Linked DNA regions of Nothobranchius furzeri. The protein of the gene in region 1 interacts with the protein of each later gene in a pairwise test. Links are inferred from orthologs where the notes say so. Each region holds a gene or a part of one and is shown on either strand. Other genes may lie near its edges.

Evidence for each region.
Region 2: the proteins of tcap (region 1) and ttc19 interact in binary tests that used the Homo sapiens proteins (3 or more experiments, as listed by UniProt). The link is inferred for Nothobranchius furzeri from reciprocal best matches to the Homo sapiens genes TCAP and TTC19.

Annotation. Positions count from the first base shown.
Region 1 is NC_091745.1:14,198,548-14,201,878, reverse strand, and holds tcap (telethonin), read left to right. Parts: upstream 1-1,182; 5' UTR 1,183-1,405; coding exon 1,406-1,554; intron 1,555-1,664; coding exon 1,665-2,055; 3' UTR 2,056-2,556; downstream 2,557-3,331. UniProt on the Homo sapiens protein: Muscle assembly regulating factor. Mediates the antiparallel assembly of titin (TTN) molecules at the sarcomeric Z-disk.
Region 2 is NC_091751.1:33,600,083-33,604,336, reverse strand, and holds the start of ttc19 (tetratricopeptide repeat protein 19, mitochondrial), read left to right. Parts: upstream 1-1,159; 5' UTR 1,160-1,221; coding exon 1,222-1,295; intron 1,296-1,470; coding exon 1,471-1,616; intron 1,617-2,321; coding exon 2,322-2,395; intron 2,396-3,905; coding exon 3,906-4,016; intron 4,017-4,121; coding exon 4,122-4,160; intron 4,161-4,254. UniProt on the Homo sapiens protein: Required for the preservation of the structural and functional integrity of mitochondrial respiratory complex III by allowing the physiological turnover of the Rieske protein UQCRFS1.

The DNA.
Region 1 (3,331 bases):
TGGGAGGAAGTCGGAGAACCTGGAGAGAACCCACGGGGAGAACATGCAAACTCCATGCAGAAGGACCCCAGGCCAGGGGTCCTTCTGCATGACCTTCTTGCTGCTAGGCAACAGTGCCAACCACTGCGCCACTGCAGCCGTTTATTTAATATTTTATTTTATCAAAACATGTTAAATGATTTATAAGATATTTAGCTAAAAACGCACAAGCAAAAACATCATTATCCGCGTTCCTCCTTTTGACAGTGAGCAGGACGTAAACAGGAAGTCTCTTTAAATGACAAAAACATGTCACGCTGATTTTCTGACCTAAACAGATGACCTTTGGGATGCCAGCGGCTGCTTTACACCTTTTTTCTCACCGTGGCAGCATTCCTGTCATGTTGTGTCAACTAGCTGATAAGTTGCTAAGAAACAGGTGAAAACGTTTTTGCACTTGGCACGAAAATAACACTAAACCGCCATCTCGAATGGTAAAGACATGGAAAGATGATAAAAAGAGATGAGAATAAGTCCCACAATGAGAGGAAAGAAAGCGTGAGGTTTGTAAGAAGTCTAGATGATTGGTGTTCCTGCCTAACTGGTCGTTTAGATGCCTTATTATTATGCTGTGTGTGTGATAAGTGATATCTGTGTTGTGATGATGATTTCAGTGCCCCATGTGGGTGAATGAGTCAGAGACAGGGACTGGTAGTAACATAACACCAACACATAACTGGCAGAGGTGAGTGTGTCTGTGTGTGTGTGTGTGTGTGTGTGTGTGTGTGTGTGTGTGTGTGTGTGTGTGTGTGTGTGTGTGTGTGTGTGTGTGTGTGTGTGTGTGTGTGTGTGTGTGTGTGTGTGTGTGTTTCGGTCAGTAACCCAAGTTGCTAACAGCTTGAGTGGTGCTCTGTCACTGAGGTAATGAATCACACGCTTTGGAGCTTTGAAAGACGTCCAGCGGAGGGGCTGGTGTTGTCATGAGGCCCGGTTGTTTTTTAACGATAAAAAATGATGATTATATCATCTGAAATGTCCTTATAAAGCGGCTGCTGTCCCGTTTCACAGCTGAACATACAAGTTTATCATACCTCTATTCATAGCGCCGATTGTTCTGTCCCCTCTGCGACCGCCGCTGAAGTGGGCTGAGTGCTTTCAGAAGCCAGGGGGATTTTCTGGCCAACCACCCTTCAACTCATCCTCAGTTTGGATTCCAGCTGTCCGGGAATGAACCGCGGAGTAGTCGGTGTCAGATGTCAGTACACACTGGAAGCAGAATGACAACGTGAATCAGAAATAGTCACGGGGCGTCTATAAAAGCTGTGGACAGATCGCTGTGCCACTCAAACACTCTGAAGAGAGAGTCTAGACGTCTCAGAGAGAGAACCAGCTTTCAGGAACCCAAGATCCCCAGACAGTAGAAAACATGCCATTCTGCAGCATACTGGAGAAGAGTAACGGCATGGTGGTGGGAGCAGAGCTGGCCTGCAGCATCCGGGAGGAAAACACGGCTAAGAGGGAGAGCTACAGTGCTGACTGGCACAGCGTTGATCTGAAAACTCAACCTCAGGACAGGTGAGACACCACATGCTCCATCTACTCAGTGGTTTGTACTGAGATTCCTCTTGTTTTAACCTTGGAGTGTTATTAAGTCTCTAAGTTGAACTGTCGTCTGATGCCCACAGACAAACCATGAGCATGAAGGACGACTCCCGTAGAGAGACCCTCTCCCGGCAGTGGCAGTACCGCTCTCTGATCCAGACCTGCCCCTCTGGTGTCTTCAGGGTGGGCACTGTGGAAAGAGGGATGAAGGAGCACCAGTTGCTGCCAAAGAGACACACCCTCCCCCTGCCCATCTTTACCCCAACAGAGCTGGGTGTCAGGCTGGGACGTGGTGCCCCGCACACAGAGCACGACCTGCAGCCCTTCCCCACACGAGATGGGGTCTGCCCCAGCAAGAGGAGTGTGGACGAGATCACCAGAGACCTCCCCCCCATCAAACCGGTCCTCATGGAGTTCACTAAAGCCCCCAGAGCTCTGGGTCGCTCCATGTCACAGGAAGCCCAAAGAGGCTGAACGGAAAAGATAGAGGCGGAAAAAGAAGAGAATATGTTAGCTTGTTTGATCCACTTGTGAATGTGATGCTAGCACTAGTGCACTTTTATTGTGAAAAGTGCAAGTTTAACAGAACGATGGCGATGCAAGTTATCAGAAAGAAGGTTGAAAGTGTTTGAAGGGCAAGAAGGGATGGATGGAGTGGTATGGTGATGAAACGTGATGTTTGGGTTGGTCACCTCCCAGGAGCTTCTGCCAGTTCTGTATGGAGAGAACAGAATGCACTGGCACCATCACACACTGCTGCTGTTCCTGAGTGAGTGTGTGTGTGTAGACTGGTACCTGTTTTCGTCTCGCTTCATTAACTCATTCTTCCTGTTAGCTGAGTGGCAGCTGCTGTCTGATCCTGACAGCAGACACAAGTTTGGCTGAGATCATGAACAACTTTTTAATGTGTGAAATGATGATATTTGTTTATTGGAAATGAAATATTTTTGCTAATAAAACTTTAAGTACTCATAATTTCCTTGTCTTCAGACTTGTTTCTGTGATATTCTTGAAAAACCCTAAATTAGGTTTTACGTAGAGAAAAACAAAATGACTACAACGAAGATGAATGAATCACCCATCTTAAAGTATCTGAGCAGCTCCCTGTTAAGTCCCACTTTAGTCTGATGTGGAGCTGACGTGCTGGCGCTGCAGTCCGCTTCCAGCATGTCTTCTGCATGGTTTAGATCATGAACACAGCTGATTTGTTTAATTCAGTGATGAATCCCTCCTGATGAAGGCTGGGGAGACAATTAGCAGTTAGATTAAGGTGTTAAAAAGACGAACGTACAGCAAGAAGAGGAGATTCACTTTTGCTTTCACTAACAGACACTAGGGGGCGATAAAGGCAAGCCAAAACTGCCTACTATCCCTTTAAAAGATCAATTTCTGGTATTTTTTCAATAATGTCTAAAGCATCAAAAGTAATTGAGTGAAGTGACAACAAACAAAAACAAACTTTATTCTAAACTCCTTTGTACGTTCAATCTGTCTTTTTTAACACAGTTTATTAAAAGTAACAAAGTAATGAAAAACAACTTTGTGAGAGAACAGTTTACACAGGAAAAACATTATATTTTTAACTAATACTAATAACTATAATAATTTTTATTAATTATTTCCTTAAATTTAGTCGTTTTCACTAAATAAAAATGCAAAAAAGAAACATTTTCACAGTATATTTCATTATGTGGATATTTAAGAGTCCCTCAAATAAAATTAGCATATGCAGTTCTGATGCATGAATATG
Region 2 (4,254 bases), on another chromosome or scaffold:
CAGCTTGTTCAGAATGCTGCTGCTAGAGTCTTAACAATAACTAAGATAACGGAGCACATCACTCCTGTTCTTAGATCTCTACACTGGCTACCAGTAAACTACAGAATAGACTTCAAAGTGCTCCTACTAGTTTATAAATCACTCAATAGCATGGGACCAAAATACATTTGTGGTCCCCTACACACAGCCTCCTGAACACCCAGATGGTCTGTTACATTTAACTTAACATGACTACAGGAGTTTTCAAGAAACTCCTGAAGACCCTGCTCTTCAGAGAGCATCTTCTTAACTAGCACCTTGCCTGCACCTGTCCCCCCTCTCTACTGTCCACTCCTTGTTCCCTACTCTCCATGACTGATGTCAATGCTGTTGTTGTTATTGTTGTTGTTTGCCTCAAGGGCAAAATGCTGATTATCACTTGTAAGTCGCTTTGGACAAAAGCGTCTGCTAAATACATAAACATAAATATTTAAGTTCCTGGCCCTGTTCAAGCGATCTGAGTGGCTAAACCTGAGGGGTGTGGGGTTGGGGAGGTTAGATTGGTGCTGCAACAGCAAAGACACGTCACTGTGGGTCTGAACAAATGGCAGACGGAGGCCACCTTCTACGGGGAGCCCGAGCTGCTCACTGGGTTTCATCTCACAGGACATGTGAAGGTTTTAGCCTGTCAATGGAGACCGTCTCCCTACCCCCCCCCCCCCCCCCCCCCCCCAACATGACCCAGGGCAGGCGGTCGAGTCAACTAGCATCTGTCAAATAAATTCAAGTAAATTGTGGTCCGGTGCGTTTTGACCCCCAGGTTGTGTGCCATGGCTGACCAAAGGTCAGAGATGAATTGGGTGCTCCTGTCTGAACTTATATCTGAGGGTGGGCCAACCCGAGCAACCCAGGATAACAGAAAGGCTTGGGCTACTACTGCGGATGTGGTAGATGGTAGGGACACCATTTCTGCCACTAAATCTAAAATGAGTGAAGCAGGAGATTCTGTTTTAGACTATAGAGGCTCACATTTCAGGAGAGTGAACCGGATTGAAAAACCAGACAGATGATTGGGTACATATTGAGTCAGATTCCCAGTATTTTACTTAGAAATCAGATACACTAGTACTACTAACCTGTTGCCAACTAAAAAAACAGTAATACAAACTTTCCAATGATGCTTTTATTGTGAAAGCGTGGAGTCCCACCGCCTGACTTCCTCTTATTATGTAAACAAAAAAGATGGCGGCGTCATGCATGCTTCGTGCCGTCCTTAACCGAGTTGTAAAGAGGTTCGGGAGTTCTGGAGGACACACGTAAGTTTTCCGTTCACGGATTACTAGACTACGGTCTCGGTGATACATAGCGCTAACGCGCACCTGTTCGTGGCGTCACTGAGCCGCTGCTCATGAGGGCGCATGAGTTGGTGCGGTTCTGTTCGGAACATTCAATGGTTCCGCTGAGGAAGAATGGGTTTGTGATGTCCAACAGGAAGCGTCTCATCTTTGGACACCATCTGGACTTCTGGGTAACTGAGACCAGACCAGAAACCAGCGGCGGAACCTTTCCTCTTGGTGGTGGAGGAGCAGCAGGAGGACGAAGAGGAGGAGGAGGAGCAGCTCTGTGTGCAGCGATTGGTGAGTCGGTCCAGTTTGGGTAGTGAAGTTCTGAATTTAACAGGTAGCCAATGTAGGGAAGCTAAGACAGGAGAGATATGATCTCTCTTTTTAATTCTCATCAGAACTCTAGCTGCAGCATTTTGGACAAGCTGAAGACTTTTAACTACATCCTGCGGACCTCCTGAGGGTGTCTGCTGCAGCTGCCTCTGGGCCAGATCCTCGTTGCAAATGAGAATGTGTTCTCAATCCACTCATCTGGATAAATAAAAATAACATAAATTAATAGGTCTGAATGAAAACTGGTTGCTACTCCTCCTCCTCGCCCTGTACTTCGAGCAATATGATGATTTAAATAATTAGGAGTCGACTCGTTTAAGCTAACATAGTCCTCTTGCTGCAGCCAGGATTCTGTGAGAGAGAGCAAATAGATCTGATTATCACTAACTAACTAACAAAGTCTTAGAAAACATAGACCTAATGTTCAATAACCCACATTTAATTTTTCTAGTTTTCTGCTCAGTTGAATTTCTTCTAATATTTATGAGATTTCCTTGGTTTGCTTTATTAAGCCTGATATTTAATCTGTGTGGTTTTGGCCATGGGCAGGACACTGTCTCTATGGGGTAGTGGGTGGGTAACAGTACAGAAGCTGCAGAGGGGTGGGTTAAACTACGACTCTGCTTCCTGGTCTGGACCCTGGGTTGTCTCCCTGTGTGTCTGCAGCCTTCTCCCTGTTCAGGTCTGATGAAGATCAGACGAAGGAAGATGAGATGATCCTGCTGCTGAAGAAAGCCAAGGTACCAGATCTTCTACCTGACTGCATCAGATCCAGCAGTTACAGTTCTCGTTTGTATATGCATCGTCCGTTACGGCAGAGATTGGATTACCCGATTCTCAATTAGCCACTTACTCAAGGGCCATTATTATACACCCGCCTACTGGGCGGGCCTCGGCCTCCCATTTCTTCTTCATGCTGCGCACTCAAGAGCAAATAAACGCCCAGTGGTCATCAGATTTCTGCTTCATCTGAAAGACCTGCTCCTCCTGGCTCACTCCACAGCAGAAACAGCAATCCAAAAGGGAATGTTGGAAATCCTAGGTCATTTATTTTCCTGGGCGTGGAACCAGACTCCTCCCTCATTAGAGCCCGTCTCATACGAGATCTCTGCTGTGATCTTCCATGTAACACCTGACAGAACCGTCATGGCTCTGTTGGCTATGAGACCTTTGGGCCTGATGCTGGTGGCGACCCCAGTGGTTCTGCTCGGCTTGAACTCATTCCAGTTCTTTCTGTCTCTAACTTTTCTATTTTGGGCTGTAATTTCTTCAGCGTGGCCCAACACCGTTCTGACGTCCACTCAGATCCTTCGGCTGCCGTCCACTGAGAAGAAAATGTCACACCGATCTGTCTAGTTGTTCCTGAGTGTGGACTCTCACGATGACGGCGAGGAAGGTGTGGAACTTTGAAGATGAACATGACTTGCTGCCATTTCTTCACATTCATGTACAACTGATGAAAACACAAACAACAAAGTGGGAATTCTTGTTGCAAGTAGTGATGTATTCATGTCCCCGATCAGTGGACTGTGCATCTGCTCCAGCCCAACCTTACTGCTGCAGACATCTCTGGACCTGCAACAGCAGGGGGCCCAGTGGTGCTGTGACTGGCAGTCTGGGTGGACCACTTTTACAATAGGGAAAGAAAAATGAGCAAGCCGACCCTCCCTTTTCCAAACCAACAGGGTTGGTGGAACTGAGATTTCTGTCAGCGGGTCTCCTGCTGCGTGAATGCACGTTGACTTTTTACTCGTCATCATCGTTCCTCCTGCTGCTTGTTGGGGAGGGATTTATCTGGGTTTTGGCTAACTAATGTGTTCTGGTGGTCAGTGTGAACCATTCAGAATCAGACTACATCCAGCCACGCCTTCGTCCCATGCCTTGCCTTTAAGGGTGAAGCCTTTATGAAATAGAAGAATGGTTACTGACTGTGACCCCAGATGCTATGAGTACAGGCGTAGCCCCTTCAGGCAGCGAGCCTCGCTGGTTCCTGTAGGTTCAAGAGCCTTTGGGAGACGAATGATGGATTCACATCCCTTTTATACCAGATTATGGCCCACCTAGTAGGTGGGCATATATTGAAGGCTCTTCAGTAAGAAGCTAAACGAGGATTAGGTTACCAATCCAGCCGTAAAGCCATATGTGTGTGTGTGTGTGTGTGTGTGTGTGTGTGTGTGTGTGTGTGTGTGTGTGTGTGTGTGTGTGTGTGTGTGTGTGTGTGTGTGTGTGTGTGTGTGTGTGTGTGTGTAGCTCAGCATACATCGTGGACAGCTGCAGGCAGCCTCCTCCTTCTTCCATCAGGTTCTGGTTCTGGCTCATCAGACTCACAACAACCAGGCCATCATCTATACCTATAGTCAGGTAAATCCTCACCAGTCCACCTGAGGAAGAGGCCACACCCCCTCTGGAATATGTGTACTACACATATGTACAATCCAGCAATACTGTTTTTTCTGTCCTGTTTAGATGGCGAACTTGGCTTTCGTCCAAGGTCAGCTGGACAGCGTGAGTATCCAATTACAGCTCAGAAATAGGAGGTCAGCTGATCTCTGACTCATCTTAACTCCATTTGAGTTAGAATGAGTCCTGAAGGCTGATC